Drosophila melanogaster: one gene and its partners. The protein of the gene in region 3 interacts with the protein of the main gene of each other region in a pairwise test. Each region holds a gene or a part of one and is shown on either strand. Other genes may lie near its edges.

Evidence for each region.
Region 1: the proteins of Cpr35B (region 3) and CG4511 interact in a two-hybrid assay, tested with the Drosophila melanogaster proteins (one large-scale study listed by BioGRID).
Region 2: the proteins of Cpr35B (region 3) and Cp36 interact in a two-hybrid assay, tested with the Drosophila melanogaster proteins (one large-scale study listed by BioGRID).
Region 4: the proteins of Cpr35B (region 3) and NimC1 interact in a two-hybrid assay, tested with the Drosophila melanogaster proteins (one large-scale study listed by BioGRID).

What each region holds. Positions count from the first base shown.
Region 1 is NT_033777.3:10,852,518-10,856,974, reverse strand, and holds CG4511 (uncharacterized protein), read right to left. Parts: upstream 2,475-4,457; 5' UTR 2,379-2,474; intron 2,231-2,378; exon of another isoform or gene 2,180-2,230; 5' UTR 2,120-2,179; coding exon 1,943-2,119; intron 1,682-1,942; coding exon 1,208-1,681; 3' UTR 563-1,207; downstream 1-562. Other genes in the region: CG6567 (uncharacterized protein), read left to right, coding at 2,614-3,321; CG4565 (uncharacterized protein), read right to left, coding at 3,369-3,523, 3,579-4,233. UniProt on the Drosophila melanogaster protein: Has redox activity with thioredoxin. Required for male fertility and maturation of sperm past the canoe stage during spermiogenesis.
Region 2 is NC_004354.4:8,477,676-8,481,047, reverse strand, and holds Cp36 (chorion protein 36), read right to left. Parts: upstream 1,730-3,372; 5' UTR 1,692-1,729; coding exon 1,644-1,691; intron 1,555-1,643; coding exon 748-1,554; 3' UTR 525-747; downstream 1-524. Other genes in the region: Cp7Fc (chorion protein c at 7F), read right to left, coding at 2,884-3,372.
Region 3 is NT_033779.5:14,423,756-14,426,850, forward strand, and holds Cpr35B (cuticular protein 35B), read right to left. Parts: upstream 1,435-3,095; 5' UTR 1,377-1,434; coding exon 1,365-1,376; intron 1,303-1,364; coding exon 658-1,302; 3' UTR 560-657; downstream 1-559.
Region 4 is NT_033779.5:13,972,655-13,978,093, forward strand, and holds NimC1 (nimrod C1), read right to left. Parts: upstream 3,601-5,439; 5' UTR 3,543-3,600; coding exon 3,324-3,542; intron 3,226-3,323; coding exon 1,576-3,225; 3' UTR 504-1,575; downstream 1-503. Other genes in the region: He (hemese), read right to left, coding at 137-235; Cyp28a5 (cytochrome P450 28a5), read left to right, coding at 4,706-4,893, 5,038-5,284, 5,349-5,439.

The DNA of each region.
Region 1 (4,457 bases), on a different chromosome or scaffold from region 3:
TGGTAAATCGAATCCTCGATGGGCGTTTTATGCACCTGGCAGGTAAAAGTTTTTGCACCGATTTTGACGATAGTCTGGACCGTAGTTTTATGGCGAGCAAGCTGCAATTGGCGGGATTACGGCGTCATTACAGGTAAATTCAGTTGGCGTCCCTTTTTGTCTTTGGCGGCCATTCCGTTATTCGTCTGCGGCAAGACTGGCAACCCTTGTGTTAAGGGAGGATTTTCGGAATCTCATGATCAGCTGTTCGGGGAAATACCATTACTTTAACTGCAGCGTAGTTTGTTCAAACCTATTATTTCAGGATTATTTCATTCAAAACTATTTAACCCGATGATCAGTTCTGTGTTTTCCAAGTAAGGTTTAATAATATCGATAAATGATGAAAATAATAAGTTCTTAAAGAAATTCTAGTCTTTTTGTTAAAAAGTCATATTTTAATAAAAAGCTGCCTTTCCCGTGTATGATTTAAATAAAATATTACCAAGAGTACGATCTGAAATGCAAAAAACCTGTGTGGGAACCATTTAAGTTTACAACCAATTACCAAGCGCTTGCAATTGTTTTGAACATGCTATTTAATCGTTGATTTCCTTTGATGCTTTGTAGAATTACAAAAATAAATATAAAAACTTGTACATATGTAAGTGTTAGTTACCTCTACTGTAGGAAATGCAATACACCTTTTATCGAAATTTTAAAAATATATATATGCCAGATATTTAGTTTCTTGTCTTTTATGCTCTGTGTATGTTAGTTTCTTGTTTTACGTACACCGTTTTCTGGAGGGCGAGGGCAGTTTGTAAAACTATGCTCAACTTAACATATATACGCAAAGGGTGCACATTCATTTGGAATTGCAAATACCATAAAGATCAAATTTTGAGTTCGCTTAAGCTCGCTAGAGTGGCGCAGCCTTCGAGGCAGCTGATTGAACTGATAGATATTAAAGCACATAATCGGGGGGGAAGGCAACCGAATTAGCCACTTACACTAGGTGGCGATGGGACCGTAGCAGAGGGATCGGAATCGTATAATTAAATAAATAACGCTAGAGTACGCCTAATTGGTTTAGATCCATGTGCTAGGTTTTGATTTGTGTGTGTCCGTTTTTGTTACTCCATCGCTTTTGAGTGTATCTTGTGTGGGAGTGTGGAACGAAAGCTGGAGCTTGGGTAATCGAGAGTGTGGGATGGACTGCCCGTAGTTAGTCATCCAGATCTATATCGGAGTCATCCGAGTCGTAGCCTCCACGTATTGTCTTCTGTGGGCGGTTGATGAATGGTTTGCGTTTCACATCTGGTGGCTGCATCAGATCGCCCTTGTAGTCAATGGCCCCCGAGTGGGCGATGCGCCACTCCAGCATTTCGGTGGCGAAGTCGTCGCAGTTGCCCAGATCGGTGAATCCGACAATGAAGTCCTTGGTCTTGCTGTCCTTCACCAGGGCGATGGTGGGTATCACCTTGATGCGCAGTCGCTGGGTGAGGAATGGAGTCTTTTCGGCATTCACCTTGCAAAACTTGGCCTCCACGTGCTTGGCCGCGAGGATCTTCAGGTGCATGTCCACGATCTTGCAGCGCTCGGTGCTGTCGCGGTAAAAGTGGCAAACAATGTTGGGCGACTTTTTCGACATCTCGAAGAACTCTTTTTCGTCGGCCAGCTCGGTGTAGGTGCCATGACCCTGGAAAAGATTAGCAATTTTGGGGATTAATGAGATTGTTGCGCTAACAAGGTTTTCTTTGAAAGTTAATTTTTACATATATATTTAAGTTTTGAGCTATTTAAGCTGGTAGCCCAATTTGAAAACTAATTTGAATTAATCGAAGCAAGTGTCGCGAATGTCTTAAAAGTCGCATGTTGAATACCATTTGGTCATATACCACTTAGAGAACAATCTCGAAGTATCTTCAATAATTGAGTGTTGTAAGAGATGATCACCTACGTTTCTGAGCCACTCCTGCTTCTTGTTGTTCAGGTCCTTCATTTCGCGGAGCCGCTGCTCCCGCAGGACCTTTAGGTCATCCGAATCGAGGTTGTCCAGGCGGTCGAGCTGCTGGTCCAGCTGCTGCTCGATGGTCTTGGCGGCCGTGAACAGTTGGTTCTCCAGGATGTTGGCCATGTTGTCCTCTTCCAGTTGCTGCTCCTCTGCGTGTCTTGATGTTTCTCCGTTATTTGCACTCTGCGTGTGGTGTGTTCGTGTTGGCGTCAATGGTTGCGCGTGTGTGCGTGTGGATCCGGCACAAATGGAAAGGCGTAGTCATGGAGCCGCAGATGCGTCATGTTTTGTGGAAAATTCAGTTAAGTAAGGCATGTTTTGGGGAAAGCGCAGCGCATTTCGATGGAGGCGCCCACAAATCGATTATTTAGACGGTACTCACCTTTTATTTTCACTTATTTCATTGATTTTACTCCTTAAAAGTTTATTTAGACGTATGGATTCGTGTGACCGTTTGACTTTACATTGGAAAATACAAAAGGCTCCTTAATGTTCAAAATACCATGACAGTATTATTTCCCGTCAGCTGTTTCTTTACGAACCCCTGGCCACACTGCCGCCCTTTGATGGTTATTCCGATAGTGCAATATATTTAGTTGATCAAAGGTGAATTAAAGATGAAGCCAGCCTTGACAACGGTCAATGCCACTGGCAAACACACAGCCTCCGTGATATTCTTCCACGGATCCGGCGACACCGGCCCCAATGTTCTGGAATGGGTGCGCTTCCTTATCGGCCGGAATCTGGAGTACCCGCACATAAAGATAATATATCCCACGGCTCCCAAACAGAAGTACACCCCGCTGGACGGGGAACTATCCAACGTGTGGTTTGACCGCAAGTCCGTGAACATTGCCGCATCGGAAAGCAAGAAGAGCATGTCCCAGTGTTATGATGCGGTCAATCAGCTGATCGACGAGGAGGTGGCCAGCGGCATACCGCTGAACAGGATCGTTGTGGGCGGATTCTCGATGGGCGGAGCCTTGGCTCTGCACACGGGCTACCATTTGAGACGCAGCTTGGCCGGCGTATTCGCACATTCCTCGTTCCTGAACCGCGGCTCCGTTGTCTATGATTCCCTGGCCAACGGCAAAGACGAATCTTTTCCCGAGCTGCGAATGTATCACGGGGAACGCGATACTCTGGTACCTAAGGACTGGGGTCTGGAAACCTTCGAGAACCTAACGAAACTGGGTGTCAAGGGCACATTTCATCCATTGAGGAACACACTGCACGAACTGAAAACTGCCTCCATCACGGATCTGCAGCAATGGATTTATGAAAAACTACCTCCGCTGGAAAACCAAGTACAGAACAAACTCTGAGTGGCAAGTACTTACATATACTTAGGTAAACTTTAATAGTAATTTATTTATTCTTCTATTTCAGTATTTGGCATGAAACCCGTGCATTTTGAAGCACCACAGAGGCAAGTCTTTCCACCTGTCATCTTTTTATACTGCCCTTCTCCGCCATAATGAAAGCATAACTCCTCCTTGGCCGCAATATCCCTTGCTGCGAAAATACCTAAAAAATTACACATGACGAGAGAAGTCGGATCAGAATTAGCAATAAAACTTGCCTATTTTTGGTATGGGACAGTCTATTCGTACAGCTGCTATATGACAGTTCGGTTCGCAGCTGTGGTTCAGGTAGCGTCCGATGTTTCCACGTCTTGATGGATCAACGATGGTCACCTGTTGCTTCTTGTCGCTAGTGTATTCATTAAGCACCAGGATATAGTTCATCAGGCCTAGTTTTTCATTATCATGCAAGCGGCTTCTTGCCTCGGGAACCGTTAAAAGTTCTCCGGCATATTCGCAAATGTATCCTCCTTTTGTAATTTTCGCTGTAGTCCGTAGTCCTTTGGATCCGTACACGGGCGAATCGAATATTTCCAAATGTTTCCTCGGGCCTGAGTACACAAGCCGATTGGAGCACGTGTTTCTACAGCATTTGCACATGTCATTGCACTCAATGACAGGATTTGCGGAATTCCGAAGAATTAATTCGCTGCCATCTTCTGTGAACTCATATTGGCCTCCATGTGCACAGACTTCGCTGTTTTCGCAGGCTCCTTTGCAGTGACAGGGGTTCAAAAGAACAGAATTGTACTCGTCCGCCAAGAATTTGAATTCTTTACTTCCATCGCTGGGCATCAACACAGATTCCAATATGTAATCGAGTCCATCTGGGTGCTCATAGTCGTCATTCGGAGCTGTTTCAGATTCGTCCATTTTTAAAGTTTGTTTACATTACATTCTAGTACGAGAATTGATTCCCCATTTAATGGATGTTGCGCTTTCTGAAGAATATTACACTTTATTGCCTCGGTCACACTCTGAATTTAAAAATGTTCCCTTATTCGGAAGAAAATTGTTTATTTTTTATGATGCAACACATTTGTATATCCTTGCAGTTCCAGTTCGACCGTTTTGCTGTAAGCGTTACCAGACTTTTT
Region 2 (3,372 bases), on a different chromosome or scaffold from region 3:
TCAATTATTATGTTGTTATGTTTTAAAACAATCTTATGAAACTCTAATATGAATTTGGCGTTTCAAAAGAAAAGGTTTAAATACGTATTTAATGCATTAAAAGTGCTATATTCTTTGTTTAAAAGAAAAGAGGCCGTAAAATTATAGTTGCTCCATTAATTCATAGTTATGTTATTATTTATTATTCATTCCGGAATCAACAATATGTTGATAAAGATGACCTTTTGATCCCATTCTTTGCAATTAAACGATAACTGGAATAAGATAGCTACCATCACAAGAGTGTGAAATAATTTCATGCATGATAATGCTATCCAATATCTTTCGAATTGTATCTCATAAAATGCGTACCATGTTTATGCATATTTATAGAATAGTTAAAATACTTGTATGACCGTAGAGATTTCAATTACAAACTTATTTATACTCGTTCATAATTTTATGTTCATACTTTATACCATTTTCCCCTTTATTATTTATTTTTGAAGAAAACTAGATATAATTTTTTGTTCTCTCATGCATTCGTATATATTTATATATTCATAAATATGTGCTTAATCTGTGTGCTTCATTGCCACTCAGGTAGCCCCTTCCGGTCGAAAATAATTGATGACAAAACGTTTACGTTTCAAGTATTTTTTTTTCATTTATTTGCGCTCAGTAGTTCGGCAAAGAAAAAAAAAAACAAAAATTTAAATTAAACCAGCTGTCGCAGCTGAGGAGCAACCCATGCCCAGGATGAGCACCTTAGTAGTTGGGCTGGCCATAGGGCGCGGGGCTGTTGTACAGTGGAGCCTCGTTGCCGTAGGCATTGCCATCGGCAGAGGAGGCGGCACCGGCGGCGGAGGAAGCAGCTCCGGCACTACCATAACCCTGGGGCTGGCTGTACTCCCTGGGCTGGCTGTAGACGGGTGCAACCACCGGGGCCAGTGGAGCCTCGATCTTCTTGCCGGGCTTGTAGACCTTCACGTAGACGGGGTTGAGGCTCAGCGGAGTGGGCACCTTGTTGATCACCTCCTGTTGGTAGATGACCGAGGGCTTGATCTTGTAGATCACCGGATTGCCGCGCACCACAGTCGGTGGGCCGCTGTTCACATGGGCTGGTGGTGCACCAGGCTGGTGGACAATGATTGGTGGCAGGGGCTGGGTGGCGATCACCTGGTGATTGTTGTGGCCCGATGGCACCAACAGGGAGCGGAACAGATGCTGGTCAACGAACTGTGGCGACACCACCTTGATCTTGCCCTGACGGATATTGCTGGCCAGATTGGTCTCGGCCAGAGATTCGGCAATATCCTCGGAGTTCTTCAGCTTCTGGTAGTTGGGATCGGCATTGAGGGCCTGAAGTTGGGCCTGGACGCGACCCAAACGACGGGCCTCCTCCGGCGTGGGCTGGATCTCGGCCTGTGAGGCGATCTGATTGGCAGCCTGCTGGTTGCCACCAGACGCCACATTCACGTACTCCTCGAGTCCGGCATTGGGACCGGACAGGTACTGTCCATGTCCATGTCCGTGTCCGTGTCCGCCAGCGGGACCATAGTTAGCGCTCACCAGCTAATGAGGAGGAGGTAAGAGAGAGAGAGAGAGAGTTTGCGAGATTAGCGGGATGCCCAATGCGAATGCCATGGATAAAAGCTACTAACCGGCGTGGCGGCGATGGCCAAAATGCCAAACCAGAGACCGAGTTGCATGTTGCCGTTTACGTGTGGATCGTCTACTGCTCGCTGTCTGGCGATGACTCCGGCTCTTTATAGCGCCTATAATCGCTGCCCGCCATGGCCGGCTACGTGATCCATCTCCATTTCCGATTTTGCGCCGCATCTTTGTCTCGCCATCGTGCCCAGATCTCTAGACAACCAACCTCCTATGCACCTATGCACCGTGGTGCACCACTCTGCTTTCCGCTCGTCGCAATCTTCTATTTTTTGGCAGTTGTTTCCCTTGGCTTGAATCATAGCTCTTCCAAAGATCGAATATGATGCCAACGCTACGAGAGTCTCGTTTTGGTTGCCTTGTTGCGATGATTACAGCTGTGCTGCAATCTCTCTGCAATCCTTTGGGTTTGAAGTTAATATCCTTTATATGTTTTTACATTGCATTTTAACTTGGGACTTATACTGAAATGTGTACATAAACATGCCCTGCAGCAATGTTTTTTTTTAATCACCCAAATTTAAAGATGTTATCTATAAACTGATAAATATCTTACGCTCGAGATATATGAATAGATAATTTTTGTAAAAATTTCCGAGAAAGATATACCATGTAAACCATATTAGCAGATTATATTAGATATATAAGTACATTTATAACCGCATTCAATTCGATGCAGTTTTAAGCTTTAAGTTTGTGTTTATTAGCCATATAATTAAATTCAAAGGTATTAAAGACATTTAAGTTATTCCTCTTAAAAGGCATCTTTATTTTTAAAAATAAAATGCAACATTCTTATATTTTATGATTTTCGGTGGATTGTTTCGTCTCAATGTGAAATACAGTATCTTATATTTAAATCATTTGTTATACCTAAACTTATATAAACATTGTTACTAAAAACCTGAGCAATGAAAGTTAAATTGTTGATTCAATTTAAACTTGTAGAGTAGTGTATTATGAGTCACTGAAATTTTTTTCTTGATAAGCTCTTAATTCAATTCAAACACAACAAATTTTTGTATATATATATATTTTTTTTGTATTAATTTTATTATTTTTTTTAATAATTTCCTTAATCTCAGTGTTTGTGTAGTTCGTGTTGTGTGTAATGTGTTGGCGTGTGTGTATGTGTGGTGTGTGGTGTATGGTGTGGCTCAGTCCCATTTATAGAACTCAATGGTCTGGAGACCGCAAGTCTTTGGTTTGACGTGGACATGGATTTAGCTTCTAGAGACCCCGCTTATAAAGAAGGTAGGTGAGATCTCGTGCTGGTCGACTGCCGTAGTCATTGAAGGGTGATTTGAAGTTGAGCTGACCGCCAAAGGAGTCAAACTCCTCCTCGTGATGTTGTCGATCCTCTCCAGCTGATTTCATTGGCGAGGGATTCGATTGCTCGGCGTGCAGCTGATCTTCGCTAGAGTTGATAATATAACTCTGCGGCTTGTAGTTCTGCTGCCCATAATTCTGAGGCATTGCATACGTGTTTCTGTGCGGTGTGTGCTGTGGGTATTGTGGTTGTGGTTGTGGTTGCGGTTGCAGTTGTGGTTGTGGTGCATAGTGTTGTGCATGCTGTTGGGCATAGTTATAGCGTTGCTGGGCAGGATGCGATTGCTGGGTCTGCTGATGGATGAGATACTGCTGTTTCATGGCCATGGCTCGATTGTCGAAACCCTGACGATAAGCTGGACGCGATTGGTGTGGCGCAGGTAGAGGAGA
Region 3 (3,095 bases):
GGTGTGCGCGGATGAATAAAGGACTTTCAACTCCGAAAACCCGATTGCCACCACTAGAAGTGAAAAGAAATCGCCCATAAAAAATCGCCATGTGCACGCATATATACAATATGTGTGTATGCTTGCATAAAAAATACAAGTTTCAGCCACCTGAAATAGCCAGCGAATAGATAGATATGCGGGCTAATTTATGGATAAACTGTACAAATATGATTTATAATAATCGAATTTGTGATATATCTCGCCTGTCGTGTCGCACATTACTGATTCTGACCCAAATTACGGTCTATGCGATTCTCGTCTTGGTGTTGAGTCGCGAATGCCTGCCTATTCAATTCATAAATCACCATATGCTAAATATGCTAAAATTTCACTAATAATTTGAAATGTTTAAATATTCCAAATGTATCGAAAAGAGCTATCTACTGTGATTTGTTTCTTTTTTAAGTTAATAGTTCGTTGGTAAGTATAGAAACTTTATAATTCGATTTTAATAGGTTTTAGGGAAACTTTAGTTACACTTCTTGTCCATTTCAAATCAAATAATTATTTCAATTTTGAAAATATTTGCCTGATTTATTTTGGTATAACAACAATAGGTATTTGGTAAGAGTTCAATAAACGATTGATAAACAATTGTATAGCTTAGGGGTCAACTCAATGGTAACCGTGTCCGTGCTCGAAACCATGATCCTGACCGTGGCTGTGGCCGTGCCCATGTCCGTGTTCCTGTTTCAGCGAATAGCTGTGGGAGCTGCTTCCGTGACCATGTCCATGACCATGACCGTGACCGTGCTCCTCGTGTCCGTGGCCATAGTCGTGTCCGGATTGCGAGGAGTGCTCCTCGAACTCAACGTGTCCGCCCTCGTAGCCGCTGTGTCCATGGCCATGGTGCTCCGCCTGGTGGTGATCGTGGAGCTTCTCGCGATGGACATGAGCCTCGAATCCCTTGTGCTTGTCCGCCGTGTAGTGGACAGTTCGCTTGTGGCCATCGGCATCGATCAACTCATAGTGTCCGGTAACCGTGTGGCCATGTCGTGACTCACTCTGTGACTTCACATCCCCAGTCTTTTGATCCTTGACGCCGTACTGGAAGTCATACTCAGCATGGGAGTCATGGTGATCATCATGCCCGTGATGGTCGTGATGATGACCGTGATGTTCCTCGTGATGATCGTCGTGCGATGTTAGATGCACGGAGGCATGACTGGTGGCTCCACCGTGATGACCGTGGTGTTCGTGGCCATGGAAAGGAGCTGCCCGAATAGCCGCAATGGCCAAGAGGGCAAAGGCGATGAAAAACTAAGGAAAATCGAGGTGAATAATAATTTGCTTTAGTTGTTATCCTTTTTTGCTGAACTCACCTTTTGAGCCATGGTACCGCAGCTAGTTTATGAGTTAATCTTAGCTAGACTACTGTTGTCTGATCTCCAGACCAAAGTGAACTGTACCTAAAACACCTTTAACCCGGCCTTTTTATAGTTGGAATAAATCGAACCCATAGGTTAAACTTTCAAAAAAGAATTGGTAAATCGGTCTTTAGTTACGCCCCAATTTGCAGTTCAAGATCAGGTCGTACTTTCGCCCCAGAGACGTGCAATTATATTCGACTGCCAGTTCGACCCTTTTATTTAGCTGTTGTTTCGAAAATCCGTAAAAAAAAAAAATAAATAAACATAAAAATGAGGAAAGAAAAGAATGGCAGTGTAGTAATTCATTGTAAAATTTACTGTCGCAACAATTGCCAATTTAAAGTGGCATTGTTTATGCATCGCATCGCTGTCGTTGTCGGCCATTATAATCCCCCGGCTTGGAGTCGGATTTGGATTGGGATTGGTATATGTGGGCATAGCCAAGAAACAAACGAGCCAAAAGATTTATATGCCTGACAAACGTCTTCGAGTCGTTGACGTCAATCAGGCCTGACAAAAAGTCATCAGAATTGCAGTTTGCAGTTCTCCCTCGGCAGCGGCTTCTTCATTTTGGCCAGATCGGAAAGGCTTGTCTGCTCTCCTCAATCCCAATTCCAATCCCATCCCATCCCAATCCCAGTCCCGTTTCCCGATCCCGATCGGGATCCCAACTTTCGGTGGACTGTTGTCCCGCCAGTCCGCCTGTCAGCAGTCAATCGGCTACCGTCTGTCAATGTCGTGTCGCCTTCATCAAAGGCCACATTCGAGTTGACAATGGGGATATTGGTTCTGTTTTGTAATCCGCAAAGGATACGGATTTTTGAAAGTGCTCAAGTCTGGCAAGAAGAGCTACGTGGCTGGATGGAACATACTTGAATGCAATTTGCATTTGATGCGTGAATTAGCTGGGAATGTAATAATTGGATGAGAATGTTCAGAAAGAAGGGATAGAAGAACATGGCTAACAGATTCAAGGACCATCAGTTATATGATGCTAAGTATTTATTAGTATTTATTACTATTTTTACTTTTGGTACCCTCTATGTACCCTCAATGCCTTAAATTATGCTCCTTCTGCTGTGTTTAGATAACTTTATGCAACAGTTGTGGTTTAATTGATACTGATTATGGTAACTGGGCTTATGCATCCAAAAGTCGAGATCTGGGAGCAGTGAAAGCCCCCTTCTTTCATCATCGAAATTGCCCTTATGGCAGTGGTCTGAACGTGGCACAGAGCCGCAATGTTGCTGCCGCAAGTTGAGAGTCGCAAGTTGCAAGTTGCCAGTTGCCGTCGCTGTCGACTCATCGTTGTCAGTCAAAGGGGCAAACGAAAGGCTGCGTGGTTTGGTTGGCTGGTTTCGTTGTCAGTGTCATTGCTGGCTGCGTTTTGTGGGCACATTTCGGCTGCTTGATTACTCATGTCAATCAGGCTTCCAAACAGCGACGACATGCTGTCAATCTTTGTGTCATGGCCGCTAAAGTTGTTGGTCGGTTGGTCGGTCGTTTTGGCCGGTTGGCCAGTTGCTGGAGTCGTACAACAAGTACGCTTGATTGCCGGGCCCAAAAGGCTGGGTAAAAGGGTAAATACAGGACAGCAACAACAAAAAAAAATAGGAGGCGATGGGGAAAACCGATGATGCCACAAAGGTGCCCGGTGGCAGTGACAGGACTGTAGTTGTAGCC
Region 4 (5,439 bases), 450 kb from region 3:
TAAATTTTTTTAATTAAATACCTATAAATATGTAATATTTAGACTAACATATTTGTATGTCATTTGCATATGCAATTTGACCCTTTGTCATGGGTATTTAATGTTATTGATTTTAAAAGACAGAAAAAGTACGTACATGTATTGGTTTTCTGTGCGGATGTTCAGAACGGTATCCAAAGGAACTGGTAAAAGTGAACAGTGCCAGGAAAACGACGGTCAGTTGAAAATTATGCATATTAGTGACTTATGTAAACTTAGTGTGAACTGCTCCGCCGAGTGCCAAAAAATGAACTAAACTTTAAAATTTCGCTTGCCTTCTGCGGAGCGAGATTAGTACCCTTTATATGAAAGCTTTTCGGGTATATCCAATAAGGAGGAAAATATGTAACCAGTGTATTTATTTTTAATTTAATTGGCTTTATAAAAGTAAGAAGTAATTGTACAATTATTTCTTACTTTTTTATAAAAAAAGAAAGGTGAGTAAAGGATTTAAATACACTTTTAAACGTTAAGCTCGTCGAGTTCATTTTATGAATTTATTGAGTGGTATGTTTTGGTTGACTTACAACTTTTTTCTCATTCTAAAAAATATGAGGATTACAAATCAGTTGATCTCAGTCGTTTTATTAGTCCGCGAACATTTTACATATTTTAAATATTACATATTATATATGTATGTATGTATGCTTAACAGGCCTCCAATGATTTAGTAGTAAATATGACTCAATCACTTTTGTGTGTCATTCCAAACGTTTCCTGTAACTAATGATAATGGTTAATACAAAAATAATTTTTTAAAAAGAAATAATTTCCCTTATATAGTGATGAACAAACTATTTTAATGTAAATAAACAAAAAATTGCTGTGGTTGTCCAAACTTAAAACTCCAAACACAAAACGAAAGGTATTGAAAAACAAAGGGGTTGTCATACCAATACTTCACGGATTTGATCAGTTTATAAAACTGCAAGTTTCCGGTTTTTTTGCATTGTATTGTTATTATGAAAAGTTATACAGTTTTAGAGCATTACAAAAACTCTGCCTTTACAACAGCTATTGAAAGCTCCTCCGTGTGGAGGAAGTGTTTGGCCAAAATATATGTTTGATATCACGATTTATTAAAGCGTGCGTTTTATCTATTGGATTGATTAACCACACAGAAACTCTGTATGGGAATAGATACATATATGACAAGTACTGAAAAAGGAAACGCTGATACGACTGGTTGGTATCAGCGTTTTCTTTTCCAGTACTCGTAAAGTATTCGTATAAATCTTCTTAACTATTACAGTTAGACGTAATATATATCTCGTACTTGTAAAGTACCCTCTTTTGATGAAACCTAGATAGTCAACTTTAAGTAAGCACAATTGACATTTGCTTACATTTATAGTGAGTCCTGCATTCCGTACCTAAATGGTCCAGTTATTCTTTTAAGCTTGAGGACATTACCAACAAATAATTATTATAATTATTATTATAAATTTATTTCATGTTATTACATTTTTTAATTCAAGTAATTTAACAATTTTACAAGCGATTTTGAAAGGATAAGTGATTTTGTGTGGATTCAAACTATTCAAAATCACATTCAACAATGGCTTCTTCGGCTTCAAAATTTCGCCTAGAGGTAGAACGTCGATAGTACTTTATGCCAATGATTGTGGCGGCCACACCAATGATCATTCCAGCGCAGGAGCCTACGATAATCATCCACTTGTTAGACGATCCAGTTCGGTCAGGAATCCGTACCTCAGCCTCTGATCTTGCCCCCTGCTCTGGCAAAATATGACAAACGTATCGCGAATTCTCCCCGCTGTAATCCATGTCACTATCCTCTTGGCACACCAGTTGACCACTCGATAAATCGCATTGGCAATTGTCCAAATTGAGGCACGGCTTGTCCTGGGGATCAACACAGATCTTGGCACACTTGGCTGTATTGAAAGTACCCATCCCATCGTATTCAATCCAGCACATGCAACCGGCAGTGCAATTTGAGTGCGGAACCTCGCTGGTTGATGTCTGCAGTTGAGGGTCTACAGTTGATGATTGCAACTCCACAGTTGTGGTGCTGTATTCATAGGAGTCCGTCGTGGTTTGTAACTCGCATAGTCCGTTAATATTCTCATAGCCCACGTTGCACTCGCACACATTCGGTGCCACACAGTCTCCGAATTGGCAGCCTTTGCAGATCGGCTGACACATAGAAGTGACAGGATTTGTGCTATTGAGCTGATAGCCATCGTGGCATATACAAAAATTGGGTGCCACACAGTGTCCGTTGCTGCAGCCACTGTCGCAAATAGGATCGCATTCGTGATGGGAGTTGTCCTTGAAGCGATAACCCGGATCGCAGGTACAGGTTTCTGGACTGGTGCACTTGCCATGAACACAGTTTAGGCTGCATTTTGGCTCACAGACTTGATTGGGACCCATTTGATAGCCAATACTGCAAACACAAGTCTCCGGTGCAAAGCAAAAGCCGTTGGTACATCCCTTGCTGCACTTGGGTACGCACTTCTTGTCCGCCCCCGACGACTCATAGCCCGGAAAGCACTCGCATTGGTTGGGCGCCACGCAGTGTGCGTTATCCGAGCACTTTTCGCAATGCGGCTGGCAGAGATCATTTCTCATTACGTAGCCCGGCTTGCAGACACAAACGCCGGGACTCAAGCATAATCCGTTCTCCGGGCAAGTGGAGCACACGGGTCGGCAATTGGTGCCTCCGTCGTCACCGGCATATCCATTTTCACACTCGCACACACCTGGCCTCACACATCGGCTGTTTTGGCCACAATCCTTTGGGCAAATGGGCGAGCAATTGCCATTTGAATTGTTCTTGTATCCATCTGGAAAGACGGTGCCGTTTCCCACTTTCTCGTACCCAGGTTCACATTCGCATTTCCCGGGCTCCGAGCAAAAGCTATGGTGTCCACATTCCTTTTCGCAAACTGGAAGGCAATTGTCGCTGGGAGAAGTTCGTTTGTAGCCATTTTGGCAGCTACAGACTCCGGGGCGATCGCAAAACTCGTTTTTTCCACATACCGTTGGGCAAACGGGATGGCAGTCGATACCGCCGTAGCCCGCATTGCAACTGCAAGTATTGGGGGACGAGCAGAATCCATGTTGAGGACACTGTTGTCTGCAGACAGGTTTGCAGTTCTCAACGGATCCTTCGTAGCCCTCACAGCAACTGGGTCTCATTACGGTCCTGTAGGCAGTCTAGAGAACAGGAGAAAAAGCCTCTTTAAAGGAAACTTTAACTACACACTTACCAAAGCTATAAATAATAATATAAATTATGTACAAATTCGAATTACCTCATCTTCATAGACATATTGATGCCTGTACTTAGTAACCCAACCATGAAAGTATGAATACTGTTGAAACGGAACCAATTTACTTTTAAGAACCTTACGGTTATACGGAACGCTTTCCGGGTGACTGCAATCATTTAGGCCATGCCGTAAAATGGCGAAACTTGTGCCAAAGGACAATGACAGACACACAAAATGCAGTGAAAATGCAGTAAAATCCATGAGTAATGCGAGTCAATTCGTTTCCTGAAGTATATACCATATATATATTCACTATCTTAAAGCAACCAGTCTGTCCGATGAATTAAACAGAACTGGACCCTCAATTAATGTAATGTTCTTTTCTCTTGGATTTTTAATGAATTCCAGATAACGAGCACACTATATCTTCGTTTGCTTTGTACATAGGAATCTTTTAGTATTTTATAATTATTTGTATTATTAGCTTTAGGGAGACTAGTTCCGTTCCCCATTTATATTTTACTCAAAGTTTTGTATTTACCTCTTCGTCTGTATAATACTCGGTGCGGTATTTTGTCTGCCAACCACTCCAGAAAGATCTATGCTGGTATGGTATCACTCTACTCCTTTCGACATATCTCTTGTAAGTAACCACCTGCGATCGGTTACAAACATTCAAGCCGATGGGTTGAATGAAGTCGACGAGTAGCATAAAAAAACCCAGACACACCCAAAGGCATTGGATGTGTGACATTATGGAAAGAGCAGAAATCTTGTAAAATTCAGCTTTGATCTCTATGTAAATGAGTTCGGCGCAACGTTTCAAATTCAACTGAGCTGCAAATGTAAATTTATATATTTCATGTTGCTCCAAAATCAGCTACATCCGTTGAGGACTCGACAATCTAGACCTATACATATAAACCGCTTGGGATTATCTGAGCATTTGTTTATCCCAATATTGCAAGCAAAATATGTAAGACAGAAGCAAACGCTATAATGTTTCCTTCAACTACTGTATATATTTCATCAGCCATTCAAATATGCCCTAGGTTACTAAAGATACTTAAATTTATTCTAAATGGTTAATTTCATTGCGGCTAGTCGAGTTGCAACATCAAATGTTATTGCTTTTTTCTACAAAGAACAAGACCGTAAATAAATAATAATTGCTTGATATGACGATTGACGACCGCCTGCAATAATGATTAGCTCTTATCATTTATATGTTAGAACTGTTTATGGTGAAAGTGTGAGTAGTTTACTCTCCCAGAGCACTCACTCAGGTATCTCGGTGATTCCACACTGTTGAATACCTCTCCCAAATTCAATGAGCAGCTACAAATAGAGCAGAGTATCTGATTCCACAACAGACGCCGTTTAGAACTCGTCGCGCGTGGACGTAGATTTTAGAGCGATCGAAAATGGTTCTGATTACTTTGACCCTGGTTTCGTTGGTGGTGGGCCTGCTGTATGCCGTGCTGGTATGGAACTATGACTATTGGAGGAAACGGGGCGTTCCTGGTCCCAAGCCAAAGCTATTGTGCGGAAACTATCCAAACATGTTTACTATGAAGCGGCATGCAATCTACGATCTAGACGATATATACAGGTGAGTTATCCCAGCTAGAAAGGTTATATTAACTACCAAAATTCAATGGATCATCAACTGTTTCACAAAGAAACCAAGAACCATTCTTAAAACGCATTTAAAAAATTACGCTTTACTTGAATTTAATGCGATCATTTTATTCAGGCAGTATAAGAACAAGTACGATGCTGTGGGCATTTTTGGCAGCCGCTCTCCACAGCTGCTGGTGATCAATCCCGCGTTGGCGCGTCGAGTCTTTGTGTCCAACTTTAAGAACTTCCACGACAATGAGATCGCCAAGAATATTGACGAGAAAACCGATTTCATTTTCGCCAACAATCCGTTCTCGTTAACTGGCGAAAAGTGGAAAACTCGAAGGGCGGACGTAACGCCTGGTCTTACGATGGGACGGGTGAGGCAGTTCATCCAGTGGCAAGCCCGAAAAGTACTGATCCAACCAATATACATAATTACAGATAAAGACAGTCTATCCGGTGACAAACAAGGTGTGCCAAAAGTTGACCGAGTGGGTGGAGAAGCAATTGCGTCTGGGTTCTAAAGACGGCA